Lepisosteus oculatus: one gene and its partner. The protein of the gene in region 2 interacts with the protein of the main gene of each other region in a biochemical or structural test. Links are inferred from orthologs where the notes say so. Each region holds a gene or a part of one and is shown on either strand. Other genes may lie near its edges.

Region 1 (8,121 bases), on a different chromosome or scaffold from region 2:
TTGTCCTATCGTCAACTGCAAGAACGAATCCTTTGGCTTTCACTTCATCTTTTATCCTCTCAGTTTATTTGTCATTTTTTTCATAAGAGCAATGAAAACATCTACCTCACTACAGAAAAGTGCTTGTGCTTTTAATATTCCTTTTTCAGATTGTGGACTCAACCAGATACCTTCACTTTGAGATACACCCAGCAAATGTAAACAATACAGAACAATTCCTCATACCATGAAAAATATTCTGAGGCATGGTCAGGTAGTGATTTTTGAAGGGTGATTGTGGTGTGTGTGTATATATATATTGTGATACATATCCTAATTGGTACTATATAACACAATATCCAAATCATCAGTCAGAGGTTTTAAATGTTCAGCACCAAACACTTATAGTATACGAATTGACCTGGATCTCAGTTTCTTTTCCCAAAAATTCCTTTCTGTATGAGATTACGTGACATAGGGGCTTTGCAAGCCATAACAACAAATTACATTACATTACAATTACAAGTTACAATTACACAGACAACATAATTTCACTGGTAATTATTACACATCAATAATAATTAGTTTTAAAGTACTACACAAACAGCACCTGTCTCTTAAAACATTATGTCACCAATACAATCCTTACAAAACAGATATGATATGCCATTTCATTTCAGAAATTCTTTCTCAGCCTGTGAAATACTAATTGAAAGAAAAATAATTTTATTAAAGCTTAACCATTGTATAATTTTGTTATATAAGGAAAATAAACAAAATCAGTGATATATAAGTGATATAGCCTTATGAATCTGGATAAATTATTTGTTGTAACATTCAATTAATTATGTTTTACTATAAGACAATATTTCTCGGATAAAACACTAAGAGTATATTAATTTCTTTGGATAGTGGTTTACCATGCATACTACTGTATGTCTTCAGCCTTAAAGAATTTAATAAAATACATTAGCGTGAATCACCACTGAGCAGAAAAAAACACTGGAAATAAAATAGTGCAAATATTTGTATAAATATTTATAGATAAGAACTGCATTTGCAGGATACCCAGAAACAGCAAAACACCTTCATGCATGATTTCAATTATTTCTGTTTAGCAGAATCACATGGTGTTGATATACAAGTTTGGTGAAACATCCAAAGCCTAAACTTTGCACACTGTTCAAAAGAAACACTTCTGAAGCAAAGGAATCTAGGGCTATTTAAAAAAGGTAGCAAAAATGAAATTAAAATGCTGACATTTTCAAATTATTTTATAATTCTAAACTTGTACTTGAATATGTAAAAATGACATGAACACTCTGCAAATGTGCACTGTGGCTTACATTGGAGCATGAACAGTAGGTAAAACTTTCTTCCTCTTAAGTAATCCATATCGCCCCAGGTATACAGGTATACAGGGGGCTGCAGTGGCATCCAATTTTTTTCAATCTATCTTAGAATTACTGGATCTGTCCTGAATTATTTCCTTATATCTATTTCAAAGTGTCTTTATGTATTTAAATTACAGCAACAAGATGAACATGTGGACCAATGCAGACAAACTCTATTTGATATTTTATATTGACTAAACCACTGAGAAAGAATTGCCAACTATATAATACTATAATAGTATTAGTTATATTAACATTTAATAATTTTTAATAGTTTTTTACATATTTTACAGTACATTTTAGGTTGATGTAAAACTAATGCAAGCAGCTGACTCTGCATTTAACTGCTGAGTACAGTAAAATACATTAATGACATAGTGCCATGAAATTAGATGTTAAGTTGTTTTACATTTGTGTAGAAGAATATTCAGCTAAAACATTTACAAGCTAAATGCATCCATCCATCACAACTGGTGTGTCTTGATTGATTCATGCTTTAAAACTTAATTCAGAAGGCATCAAAATCACTTTTTGTTTTACAGCAAAATGCTTTGAAAATTATTCCAAATACAGGACAGGTCATTACATTAAAATTATTTGCTGGATTGCAAGTTGCTGCTCAATAATACTGTATATAGCTAACCTTTACAAAACAAATGTTCAAGGAGGGAAAAAACATATGCTATACAGTACGTACTGTAAAAGCAGGATTCCACCCAGTCTGATTTTTTTTTAATCAAGAACATACCAATAATTGACACTGCAAATTAAATTGAAACCTTGCGTTGAAATTTACATTTTAACTTTCTGGGTACTACTGTTCATTTCCCCCTTTTATTAACGATGTTTAATATTGCCTAAAAGGTCACACGTCAAAATTTTCTCGCCATAATGTATAAACTGTGTACTGTAGGTACTCTATTGATAGCCTTTATCCATAAGCAGGTATAATAATAAAACTTTTTAAAAAACAACGTTTGGCTACATAAATATTACAACGTCATCTTCATACGTAGTACTCATGCTGTAGTCACAATTTTAAGCAGTTTGTCCACTTAGTAAAACAAACTGAGACAAGAATACAATCTCATTTACTGGGTTAATTTTCTATTTGAGCATTTTTCACGTTACATATAACCTCGCGTGTCCAGAAACTACAAATCCCAACATTACTTGCGTCTGATATGACCCGCATTGGAAGGGTGGAATAATGTCACAAGACACTTTTAATGATATATACTGCACATATTTCGATGGAGAATAAACAGGGCGCTTAAACAGAGTTCTTACGCTAAAGGTGCATACGATTGCGTGTTTTATGTTCGACTGCAAAACCAATACATCCTTTAAGATTAAAAACACTGTTTTTTAACTAAGCTGAATAGACCTTTTTTTAGTTCAGGCTGAAACTGTACCTCCAGTTTTTGCTTCTGCATAATCGAGGCAGTTAGAAAATGAATAAGAAATGCATGCAACTTTAAAAAACAATAGCATAAAATTCACCTTACCTTCGAAGCCATTACTGCTTCATTTATTTATTTTAAAATATTTTTGAAAAGTTACTTTATCGGTTCCTCAATCAGCCATTCCCTTTTCCAGCCACTGAGCGAAAACAAGGCAGTTCTTCTTGGGAGTGCTGGTGAACTAATTTTAATACATCACTAAATACAGACTGCCCTTTGACCCGAGGAGGGGAAAAGGCAGTTTAGAGGACTCTAGTTTAAGTAATCCACTTCGGACTGAGTTTCGCTAGATTTCAGCTTCAGTTTAGTCCTGTATCCCGAGCACGGCGCGAAGTTAGTGGAGCCCTGCGTCTTATACTGAGAGAACAAAACCGGAAAGGATCTGGAAGCAACACCAAGATATTTATGACAAGTCAGCCTGCAGATACGGTTCAACTGTTTCTCCGCTGCACGAGTTGAGGGCGCTGTCCTACGAAATCGCTGCTATATACAGTACTAGTAGTTTCTAAACTACATTTTTTATACCAGGCATAATCAACATAGATATGCGTCTTTATTTAAAAATGAATATGGGTTTGCTGTATGGTTTACGTAGAGGTAAATGGGCCATAAAATATGTCTCATTGCATCAGCTTTATCAAGTTATTTATTGTATTGATCGTTATCGCTTATAACCAAGTGGTGTAGAAAATGTATTAAATGTTTTAAATTTTGATCATAGCATTTCTAGCCTTAACCCAATGTATGTATTATGTAATTGATACGTGTTGGTTTCTACCCCCAAGTCATGCACACCGAATTGAAATGTTGCTCCTTTCCTAGATGTGTGCTTCGGGACCTTTGGATGAAATTCAGTATTTGCCAAGCGCTTAGCTTACGTTCTTGAAATCCCCTTTTGACAACAAAAGGAATTCAAGTTTTGATAAATACAGGACCTTGATTCCTTTAACGTTATTTAAAATAGAGCGTTAAATTAGGGGGAACCGCAGCGGACCTGCCATTTCACTATTGTAACCGTATAATATACAGCTTGTAACGTAATTAAAATAGTATATGGATATCATAAACCATACTAATATTAAATTATTTTATATAATAATGTAACATTTGCCTGGTGTTAAACGTCTCTTTGACCTTCCACCCGTCACCTTTAGCTCACGTGCTTCTCTATCCCCACCCTGTATAAGGAGGGGAGGCCTCTCTCTATACCTCATGCACTGCTAGCAGAAGCTTCGCTCATTCTCCACACCCAACCCCCTTGTGTTTACAGTTACAGTACCTGTAATCTTTAAGGACAATAAGTCTTAGTGAACCTGCTCTCCTACTGTACTAGCCTACACTGCTGGGGAATTGTCAGTATAGGAGAAATCTCCTCACCTGTCTAAGCAAAGGCATAAAAGACGAATGGAAAGCAGACTCCTGATGCAGGCCAAGAGGGAGACAGGACCTCTCACCAGGGATGAAGCTCGGAGAAACATGCTGGAGATAGGCCAAGTCTTGTCTGGGCAAGAAAAAATGCCAAAAGAAGTGCGAAACCTGTTTAAAGTCTTTAGATGCGTTCATCTCTATGGAAGCGTGGTGACCATGCTGGTGCTACAGACACTACCCGAGTGTTGTGTGTCACAGCCCAGTGAGAATCTTGAGATCTTTGCTGCTGACCTCCACTACCTTGTGCAAATATCCTACCTGTGCCACCCCTGCTTAAAATGTCACTAGAAGTGTCTTTATCATGTAAATCAACAAAGAAAACAGTTATTCAAATGGTTCTTAGGCTGACATTGAGGCAGCTGTCAGGAGAGCTTTGTAGAAAGGAAGAAAGTTTAGAGAATGTCAAAACCCGATAATATTTATTTGAAAAATACCTTTTCAGCAGACAGGGTATACTTCACATTCAGTAATAATTCCCCAATTCCCCAATTTACATTAACCACATTTGCGGGCCCGTCTTTTGGATGATACGTTAAACCGAGGTCCTGATTCTCAGTGGTCATTTAAGATCCCCAGGCATTTCTCAATAAGAGTAGGGAGTTATCCCGGAGTCCGGGCCAGATTTCTGCCCTCTGCCTTTACCGTGGTCTCCAAATTGTCCACATGTATGATTGGCTTGCACTTCCCCTGTGATTGACTGGCGCCCCATCCAGGGTGTACCCTGCCTTGCACATGTTGCTTGCCAGGTAGGCTCCGGCTTCCTATGACATCATATGGTAAAAAGCGGTTTGGCAAATGACGTGACATGACATTTGTAGGCTCCTATTCTCTTTTTGCATGGATCTTTCAACCCTCCACTGGCTTCTCTCCCACACAGAGCCCAAGGGGAAGTTGGCCCACTGGATCACAAAACTACAGTACAACCAACCAGATGAGCACCATCTGAATGGAGATTCCTTATTCTGGAGATCGTGTGCAGAGGAAGGCTTTGCGCACTGAGGAGCAAGAGCTGGGGCGCTACCCTCACCAACCACAAGCTGCCTGAACCCGCTGCCTGATCTCACACCCTCAGGGAACACCAGTCAAGAGGCCAACCCACATACAGTAGCTGGTCTGTCAGTGGCAAAGGCTGAAAGGTGACCTACATACAAGATGGCTAGACAAACTCCTTTAACAAAAGCTCTATGGCCACAGTGCCTGCGTCTTCGGACTCTTCATGGCACTGGGTTCATCCTGGCTCCAGTTTAAGCATGTGGCAGGTTTTGGTTCCTTAACTGCTATGACCCAAGTTGCCACAAGCCCACCTCGTGGAGTAAGCCACTTTTGGGTAACCAAGAATCTCCAACAACTCTAAAATATATTTCTTTATATTTTTCCCTTTTATTCTATTCTCTGTTTATGCATTTTAGTTGCACTCTTCAGTTTTTACCTCCCTATCAAGTTCTTTCCAAATTTTTTTCAACAGAACGTTTAGGTCAGGGGGAATTGTGAAACCAGTACAGCAATTTCACAATTTAATTTTCACGTTCAGTGCAGATTTGCTTTCTTTACTGTTACAAAGTACACAAGGATAGCAAATTCACTTAAAGGCCCAAAGCACAAAGCAAAGCTAAACATGACTTACTATACTCCTGAGCAAAAAACAGCAGGTGTTGCAATCGATACACTGGCATCCCCTGTCCCCTGAACCTTCAAATTGTCTTTTCTGTCTCTCATGGTCTTAAGGTCTTTGCACAATTGCCCCTTCGGCCTGGAATCAGGGTTGGGTCTAAAAGGCAAATGTTTCTGCATTTCTTAGCCCTGGGCCAAGCTCTGAATCCCGGTGAAAGGCCACTGACAGAATAGTCAGTGTAATCATGGTAAGGAGAGGTAAAATGAGGAACTATTGCAGTCTGTATGCTTTCAAAGAAATTCAAAGTCTGCTGTATCAGAAAGACATCAAAAGGTAAAATGATCCTTAAACTTAGTTGACATCTTCTTCCCCACTCAGTGATTTACTTATTTACTTTTCAGATGTTTTGTCTGACATTTGTTACCCAACACACTTGAAGGAGGTTATGCAGCTGAAATATATATATATATTTTACTTTTTACTTCTCCTTCAGCTTTTGTTAATATCACAAATGGCTAGTACGAACAGAAAAACAGAAGAGGTACTGTATATCATAAAGAACATTGCCCCCTCTTGCGTTCTGTGACACTGCCCTGTAACAGGGATTATATGTAAAGTACCTAAGTGTATCATTCTCTTCTTTTTCTATCTTTAATATGGCCAATGCTGACAGATATCACTAAAAACAAGTTAACTGCGAGTTGCCGTCTTGCAATCATTAAATAATACAATAAATAAACCTTGATTACATGAATACATGAAGGTTTACATTTAATGAATCAAGAAATTACAGATAAGTATATCAGTTCAGAAGACTATGACTGTTTTTAATTGTGAGTAATGCGTAGTGTTTAAAAATATATCTATATAGGTTTATTTTACTGAACAAAATATTTTTGTATATAAAGAAGAAAGTTCATAACCAAGATAGGAGCAAAGAGTCAAGAAAGTCACATCAGTTCAAAGGAGTTCTCAGCAAAGGAAACTGAACTGTCTCCTTTGGAAGGCTCCATATCCAACAGGGGTCTCCAACTCAGTTCCTGGAGGACTGAATATCTTCTGTTTTCTGTTCCAACTAGTCTCAGTTACTTAATTGTTCTGATAATGTAATTCACTCCATAATTGTAACACTTCTAACCAGACTCCCACACAGTTATAGCTCCACACAGAGTTATAGCAGCTGACATTTTACAGAACATTTTAGGTGGTTTCAGGTTGTAGGTAAGGATGTGATTTCTGTCGTTCTAACAGGAAGAATAACTGCTAAAAACAAATGGAAATTAGTTTTATAATGGTAAACCAATATAACAAAATTTAAGAACAATTAGACAAAATGTTAATTAAGAATTTAGAATTCAAAATTGTAGTATTTCAGGTGAAACATCAACTCAAACGTTTATACCTGTGTTCTAGAACTAATGCAGATTTGCAGATTTATTTTTTCTGTGTAGAACTTGTGAATTTCCATTACATTACCTCCACCTAGTGGACCACAAGAATATAAAAAAAGGTACCGTTCTGTATGTTTTCTACAGTTGTAAATGACAATTGACAACGTCATACCAGAAGAGCTAATTTAGACAAAAAATAAGTTTTAAAGAAATAACTTAGTGAAGGGTAAGTTATACAGTAGCTTGCCACAATAATTTAACTGGAACACGATAAAAGATACATTTTAAGTACAGTATCTTAAGTAGACATTTTAAGTATACCTTCAGCTGTATTTCAATATATTTGCTGTATTTTCAGCCTGAAAACAGGATTGAAAGAATAGAGGGAAACAACTTTTTACAAAATAATCAGGTTTTTCAGACGTTGTTTGAAGACTATGAAAAGAATTCAACAGACAGACTGCAGCACATTAAAAAGTTTACAATTCTGTATTTCATACATGCATATTACTCTTAATGCTCTGATTAAAATAATTCTTGATTCTTTTTTTCTTAATAACTCAATGGTTAAGTATCTATGAACTGCAGAGGGAAGAGAAGGAGAACATAAGGGGACACCACACCTCCTGCTGCACTGCACACCAATAGAACCTGGATTTGGGGATTATACTGAAGATATTGCAAAAAGCACCAGCTGAACAAACTTAAATCATGTTCTCTGGTTGGGACTGTTAATTCTCTGCCCATGACCATCAATAGACAATCTGTCAATTAGAAAATGCCACTCTTTGATTCCTAAGATTAGGAATTAGTTGTTTCCAACCTTGGAGAGTGAGATGAATTTCACTCTGTTG
Region 2 (7,744 bases):
TGGGGAGAAGAGCAGAGAGTAATGAAGCCAACTCATAGATGGGGATTATTAGGAGGCCATGATTGGTAAGGCCCAATGGGAAATTTGGCCAGGATGCCGGGGTTACACCCCTACTCTTTTCAAGAAATGCCCTGCGATTTTTAATGACCACAGAGAGTCAGGACCTCAGTTTTACACGTCATCCGAAGGACGGCGCCTGTTATCAGTATAGTGTCCCCATCACTACACTGGGGGATTAGCACCCACATGGACGGCAGGGTGAGCGCCCCCTGCTGGCCCCACTAACACCTCTTCCAGCTGCAACCTTAGTTTTTCCCAGGAGGTCTCCCATCCAGGTACTGACCAGGCTCACACCTGATTAGCTTCTGTGGGTTGCCAGTTGTGTGTTGCAGAGTGATATGGCTGCTTAAGAATAAAGAAGGCATACTTCATAATCCCAGTACATTGTGAGGACAGGATGGTACAGATATTCAGTATTTTAGAGTCAGGCACCAGTTTACAAAACCTTCAAGTCCACTTCTAGCTGCAGACAAAGAATGCAAACACCCCAGGTTAGGACCAGGGACTCATTTCCATAGCTCATCTTACACCCTTCTGAACATATAAAGCCCTTTACAAGATGTATTTTTTGAGATTTCACTGTCTAGCTAGACTTTTGAAAACAGAATACAGGCAACAGGCACACCACATTGTCCATTCAAACTCACTGCATTTAAATGTGAGCTCTTTACACAAAGGGTTGTGAGAGTATGGAACAAGCTCCCTGGCCATGATGTTGAAGCCGATACTCTGGCTTCTTTGGATAAATGGCTGGCCACGTCCCTGGGATCAATTAAGTACCAACTACCAAACGTCATTTGGCGGAATGGGTCAAACAGCCTCCTCTAATTACTAACCTTCCTCCCATCCAAAACAAAACTCCTTGACCACAATTTTCTAAAATGAAGTCCAACAGTATGCAGGTGCACCCAAGAAGTTACAACATATGCATATACAACATTCTCCACTTGGAAACAGTTAAGATGAAATCAGACAAAAATATAATTTTGGCTAAAAAAAACACATTTTTAAAGCTCTGTAGGATATAGCCCGTGTTGTGGTCAAATAAGCACTGCTTATTCACTGTGACCGATTATATAGGACAATTACGTGGTTGTGTTGGGATGTCCACTGTTATACATAAACACAAACTGAAGAATGTTGGCTGTACCTCTTTTTGATACATAATAAGGCTCTGTGACATAAATACTGGAGCCAATTTGTGACAGCAGAAGCTGCCCAATTAGGATTTTCTTTTAAATACTGTACATCAAAATTTGCTTTGAACTCACAGTAAGAAATATGAACCAACAATTGAGTTTAGGTCACTAGCCAAGATCAGGGTAGTGCAGCCTTTCTTAAGGAAACTCCTGAAGGAAATTCAAATTTCAAGGTGAGGGATAAACAGAAAGCTTCAAAAACTCTTTTGTCACAGGTGCGACAGGTGTCACAGGTTCTACAAGGAGAAAATATCCATTGGAATGGTAGCAGGACCACGTTAAAAAAAAACCTGTCAACTGCATTTTTTTTAACTGGTGCAACCAGTTCCGAATCTAAAAACGACTATTTTACATATAAAGGAGAATTTGGTCGAGTAGATGTGTCTGACTTTGGTGATATACCAGTAAATGTTAATTCCACGCTAAAAAAAACAAGAGGTGTCACACCTGAAGAAGGCACAAAAGCCCAAACTGCGTTTCTCTTTTCTATTTTTCGAGGTGGAATTTACCTTTACTTCTTCCTTTGAAGCTACCAGTTCGATAGTTACAATCGCTTATTTTAGCCATCAGCAATCATACCGTCTACACGTCTGGCAATCAGCTAGTTCTCATATAGTGGCATTTTATAAATATGAATATTGTAAAATATGTATACTTTGCGTATGACCATAATTAATTAGGAAGTTTATCAAAATGTATTTCATACTGACAGTAAAGGTGGGTTACTGTTTTCAATAATAAAAAACGTGAAGGGTGTATCGGAAAAGACAGCTTATATTTTATAAAACCGTTTCAGCAACGTAAGGGATAAGAGACTCGAACGAACAAAGCCGACTTTAAAACAACACCTTGATGTTAATAGCTTTTGAATAAAGAAAAGCATTTTGACGGACTCGACAAGTATTTCGACAGACAACATTCTTGCTTTTTGAAAGTGTTCGAAATAAAAAAACAGCCGTCCAACTCGAAGTCATTCATTATTGCAGAACTACGATAGTCACTTCTCGGTAAATCGCAAACATTTTAGCATTTATAAGTTTAATTTCTAGCATATGTGCCGGTTCTGTGTTTGCTACATATTAAAGGTTATTTTAAAATGCCGGTATCCGGGACAACAAAGGAGACAGAATCAGGGATCCGGATCCCCTGGGGACAGAGCAGCTGGGCGGCTGAGGTGAAAAGAAAATTTGTTAGTTTAAAAAAAATAATACAAAAATAACTCATGACTGGGGAAAAAACTTTTAGAAGGACGAGTATTTGTGTGTCCTTCCACTAGTAATTACGTCATGGTGTAACAGATTTCCGCACTTTTTCCCCAGCGTAACTCCTCGGACAACCCTTTCTTCTCCTCCCAGCCCCAGTCCGCACAGCTCCGCACACTCTGCGAGATACGGCAGTAGCGTAATTTACGCTGTCTCACTGGCAATACCCTCGCTTCCACCTGCAGCCTGGCGATAGGTTCGCAAACGCTGTTTGTGAATGTCACTTGCTCCTAAACGGGAAACGGACACCTTTTTTCAAACAAGGAAATCGCTCCGCCGAGCCGCCAGATTCTGGTTGGAATTGAAATGGAAACGGGCTTTTTAAAAAACGGCTTACCTGCCGACAAAGTTTTCCAGGACTGAACTTTTGCCAGCGCTCTGCCCGCCGACCACGGCGATCTGCGGCAAGTCGAGGTTGCAGCTTTGCCCGATGGAACTGAAAGCGTCCTGAAGTTTATTAATCAGGGGAATGAGCTCCTCCATCCCCCGGTTCCCCATGGCTGCGCACTCGGGTTCTCACTTATTTGGTAAAAAAAAAAGCTCTGTATGTTCACACCAACTCTGGTAACGGGGATCAAAAATAATTCAACCAGTCAGCCGTAAATGGCAGCGCAAACATACACACGGAGAACTCCAACAGACAGAAACAAAACTTCTCTCATCCGGTCAGCCGACACCCCAACCTCCGCTGCTGATAGAGACCACGCCTCCTGTCAAGCAAAAGGAGCAAAACCACTGGCGAATTTGCATGCCCGTCTTCTCGAAGTGGCCGGCGATTGGTGGATAGTTTATTTCCTCGTCTTGTAAGTAAGGGCGTGGTCTTAAATTTCGGGCGGTGCTGTTGTAAAAAGCATCGCTATTGGCCATCTGGAACGTCAATCATTTTAGCCTTTGACTGTTTCTTCTACCCCAGGAATACAGCCAAGATTTCAGTACGATGAGTGTTTGCGTTAGAAGCTACACACAACCTTTCTAAATTTATTTTCTAAATTTACCTTTCTAAACCGATCTGTTGCCCCAGAAAGAATAAGAGGCTATATTTCGTTAATTATTTTACACTAGAAGCCTCGCTTCTGTTTTATAAATTATAAAAACATACTCGTCGATGGGAAATATAAAACTGATGCGTTTAATACTTAATTTAATCTATTGAGCCCTTCACCATGACCATCAGCTGTAAATTAAGAGTTTATATTCTTTTGTACCTGATACACACTTTTCAACAAATAACCCACCGAGCAACTGTGTTGTTAAAAAAATATTTTTAGGTAGAATGTGCCTTTAGTCAAAGCGACCAGAGGAACGCCGGACCTGCGTCATTTCTAAATTACTGGCAAGCCAATATACTTGATTATTTTCATAACATGTTTTTGCTCATAGTGGTGAATGACATTTAACAGGGGCAGCATTGCGCAGTGGTTAGTAGTGGGGCTCTGACTGAGTTCAGTTCCTGACTTGGGTTGCTGTCTGTGTTGAGTTTATATGTTCTTCCTTCGTTCACGTGGGTTTCCTTTGGGTGCTCTGGTTTCCTCCCACAGTCCGAAAACGTGCTGACAGGTTAATTGGCGTTTGGGAAAACTTGCACTGGTGTGGGAGCCTGTATCTGTGTATGCCCAGTGATGGACTGGCGTCCCCTTTGGTGTATCCGCTATTGCGCCTGTTGCTTACTGGGTTAGAGTCCGTCGTTCTCAGCAAGCTCGATAAAACGTTTAGAAAATGAAGGATGAACTTTTATCAGAGGCCACTTGACGCAACCTCACTTCAGTTTAACCAGATAAACCACTTGAAAACGAATTCTCGCTTACTGTGATGACATGGTCATTATCAATTTGCTCGGTTTGACGCTGGAGTAGCCTGAGTGATGCGACTTGCTTAAGGGTACAAGCAGCGTTTCAGCTAAAATTATCGAGAACACCTTTTTTAAACCCTGCAGCAGTTTTAAAAAAATTATAGAAGTTGATTCTATAAAAAGTCTTCAAAATCAACAGGGAAACACGAACCAGAGTACACCAAGGGAAACTTACTGTAGGTGAAGTGCTTTTAACACAGAAAAAGTGGCACTCATATGCACAAAGAGTAGTGGGAGCCTAGAACAATCTTACCAGCCAGGATGCTGAAGCCAATACTCTTGCTTTTTGTCAATCAACGACACCAAGACATCCCCTGCTTAATTAACTGCAATAATCCAAATGAGTCTCTCATGACTTTTCTTACTTCTAACGGTTTTGGTCTTTGGATCTCAGAGACTGTTTCTGTCTCTGAACGTTTTTGCCAGTTCCAACTTCAACGGCACGTTTTCTGTTTATCATACGAGGTCCCAAAATAACAAAGGAGGTCTTGAGCTTGTGTAGATTTCACATATTTAACTCTGTATTTTTTCTCCCAAAGCTATCTCATTGAGAGCCACATGGTGGGGCAGTTTCAGTATGACTGTGCACAACGCTGACGAACCCAGCCAACAGAGCGCGCTTAACCATTACATACTACAGCTTTACACTACAACTAAGGGAAATCATTATGCGAAGCGCATTTCCAGTAGCGCGACATCATTTTAATTTTTGTAAAATATCAATACCGAATAAACTTCAGAGAGGGTTTAGTAAATTTAATCTTGTATTCATGGCTCACTCGAGAAACATCAAAAAATAAATGAGAAAACGGGATATATAAAAAACATCTTAAACTGTTTCATAATTCAGATCTGATCGATGCTCTTCGGTTAAATATGCTTATTGAAAACCAAGATTAAATATCAGGCCCTTTCTACATAAAACCAGTATATAACTACTTCAATATTGATCTCAACTCTTTTTGCTGAGACAATCTTAAACACCGTAGTGCCTTTATAAACAAAAGCAGGAGGCACATTTTACACAAAGGATGGTGGGAGACAGGAACTCCTTTCAACCTTTCAGCAGAGCTGCCTTGAGTCACCTGCATTGCACAGCCTCCTAGGACACCCTGTGATCTATCCTAGCATTTTTAGAAAAAGGCTGAACAAAGAAACTGTGAGCCATCACCTTCAGGGACACATGGGAAAACTTCAGTAGACACCCATCCATCTGTTTTTTTAATTAGTTTATGAACTTCAAGGTCACGGGCACTGGGGGAGCTAGAGACTCTCCGGACAAGCTAGGCAGGATACACCCTTTATGGGACACCAGTCAATTGAAGGTCTGACACACAATCATAAACAGACACACACACACGCACACCAGGGCCAATTTTCCCACAAGGTAACTAACCCATCAGATTGTCTTTGGACTGTGGGAGGAATCGGAAGCACCCTGAAGAAACCCCCACAAACTAAAATGAGGAGAGCATCCAAACTCCACACAGATAGCACTGCAGGAATTGAACGCAGGGCCACTGCACTGCAAGGCAGCAATGCTAACCAGTGTTCCACTGTGCCACCCCTTCAGTAAACATGTCAAGCTCAAATGTTAACAGGAGGCACCTACCTGCCCGGGCAAATCTTGGAGTGATAGTGTTAGCGCCTGTTTACCCAGACCTAATCGCCCTCGGTGCTGTAAAACACAGGTTCTTGGTAGAGACGTCTCCATGCGGCCTTAAGATATAACTATCTGCTCGTGCCCTTGACCTTTGTTTGATTGCACTTGTGCTCAAAATTCTTCCAAGAGGAGAACTTCCCAGTGCTGGTCCTGGGTACCCTGGTATCTGCAGGCGTTCTCTCAGGCTCTTCATTGTTTTAGCTTTTTCTTGAATGATTCATTTGACCTGTGGGATGGGTTTCAGGCCATAAACTGTCGGAGATTTCATTTTGACTATTGTACTTTATAATGTAACACAAAAACTGCACATTTTAAACAATTGGCAATGGTGTCAAGTACAATTGAGTAAATTCAGTTCAATCAAGGAATTAATTAAAATAACTGAGAACTGAGCTGGAATGATGTTGGGATTTTCAGGACCAGAGTTGAGTATTCCTTTCCTGTCTGCTGGGTTTTCTGGGTTTTCTGGTCCTTGCTCACTAAGTTAACTAATTGAACCCATTAAGTAGACTGTGTTACAACTCCATAATGTATCTGAAATTGAGCGGTCCCCAGGTGATTCCTTACTTAGTGTATTATGCAGAGCTGCAAGGCACACAATATGTATTCTCAATATGTATTCCTTAAGGAATACCAGTGTTCCATGTTTTCATAGGAAGCCCAGTGATTTGTCTTCTACTTTTCATTTGCAAGAAAGTCACGTAATCTGTAATATCCTGATGTCTTTTTTAATGACTATCATCATGTCATTGACTATTCGCTTTTTATTTATAGTCTAAGCTGTCATGTTTCATTTCCTAATTGTCTTCTAATGTGACTCTTGCGGTCTTTGATAATTTTTTAATTCAACATGCCATCGTTTTGGAATTTTTCGGTTCACCTTACCATTTGTAATATCGATTTATCATCCGATTTGCCTCTAGATGTTTTTTTTTTTAATGTCTGTGTCTTGTATTTTGTTCATTGTGTTGTAACCAGGGACTCCAGATGTAAATTCGCTTTTAGGCTTACTGTGGTGCAGCTTAAGAACTGTGCACTGTCCCTCTTCAATAAAATAAAGCTCTGTTTAACCCTGGCAGATAACCCTGAATGAAACTAATGATTTTATTCTCAATTTGACACTTTTCCTAAATCCCAGTTTCTAAAATTGTTATAAAGGTACTGTAATTTAACTCTTGCAATCTATCTTTTGAATAACTTCTGAATTAGGGAGATTAGTGGTTGAGTTCAAGATGCTTGGAAGGAAGGGTAAATTCAGCTACCAGTAGGCATTTAATGAATTAAAACAGTGGTCCCCAACTTCAGGACAGGGGCACCTGTAGTCTTTCAGGCCCTATAGGCATATTCAGTGAGCCAATGAAGGTCAAGAGAGTGATGTCATATTGGTCCAGTTTAATTATTAAGAGTGACAACCAGATGACTCTTTCTGTGTTCTGAGAACAGGGCTGGCAACCCTGATCTTTCAAACTGTCATTTTTTTTTGTAAGTCTTGGTTTCAATTAAATTTAGTAAGAACACTGATAAGAGCAAAGTGGCAAAGCAAGGAGGGAAGACAGAAGACTGGAAAATAAAAACAAGAAAGGAGAAAAAGGAAAACAGTCTGTGCTGTATTGTAGATATCATGTTAAAGACTGAAAGGGCACCAATACAAGGTATTGACTTACAAACTAAGTAAGAGGGCATTCCTTGTTTGTTTTCAGACAGACCTTAC

Evidence for each region.
Region 1: the proteins of dnm2a (region 2) and snx9a form a complex in vitro, tested with the Homo sapiens proteins (2 studies listed by BioGRID and IntAct, with this or other methods). The link is inferred for Lepisosteus oculatus from reciprocal best matches to the Homo sapiens genes DNM2 and SNX9.

What each region holds. Positions count from the first base shown.
Region 1 is NC_090697.1:22,099,893-22,108,013, reverse strand, and holds the start of snx9a (sorting nexin-9a), read right to left. Parts: upstream 3,254-8,121; 5' UTR 2,894-3,253; coding exon 2,882-2,893; intron 1-2,881. UniProt on the Homo sapiens protein: Involved in endocytosis and intracellular vesicle trafficking, both during interphase and at the end of mitosis. Required for efficient progress through mitosis and cytokinesis. Required for normal formation of the cleavage furrow at the end of mitosis.
Region 2 is NC_090706.1:19,999,412-20,007,155, forward strand, and holds the start of dnm2a (dynamin-2), read right to left. Parts: upstream 3,199-7,744; 5' UTR 3,020-3,198; coding exon 2,859-3,019; intron 1-2,858. UniProt on the Homo sapiens protein: Catalyzes the hydrolysis of GTP and utilizes this energy to mediate vesicle scission at plasma membrane during endocytosis and filament remodeling at many actin structures during organization of the actin cytoskeleton.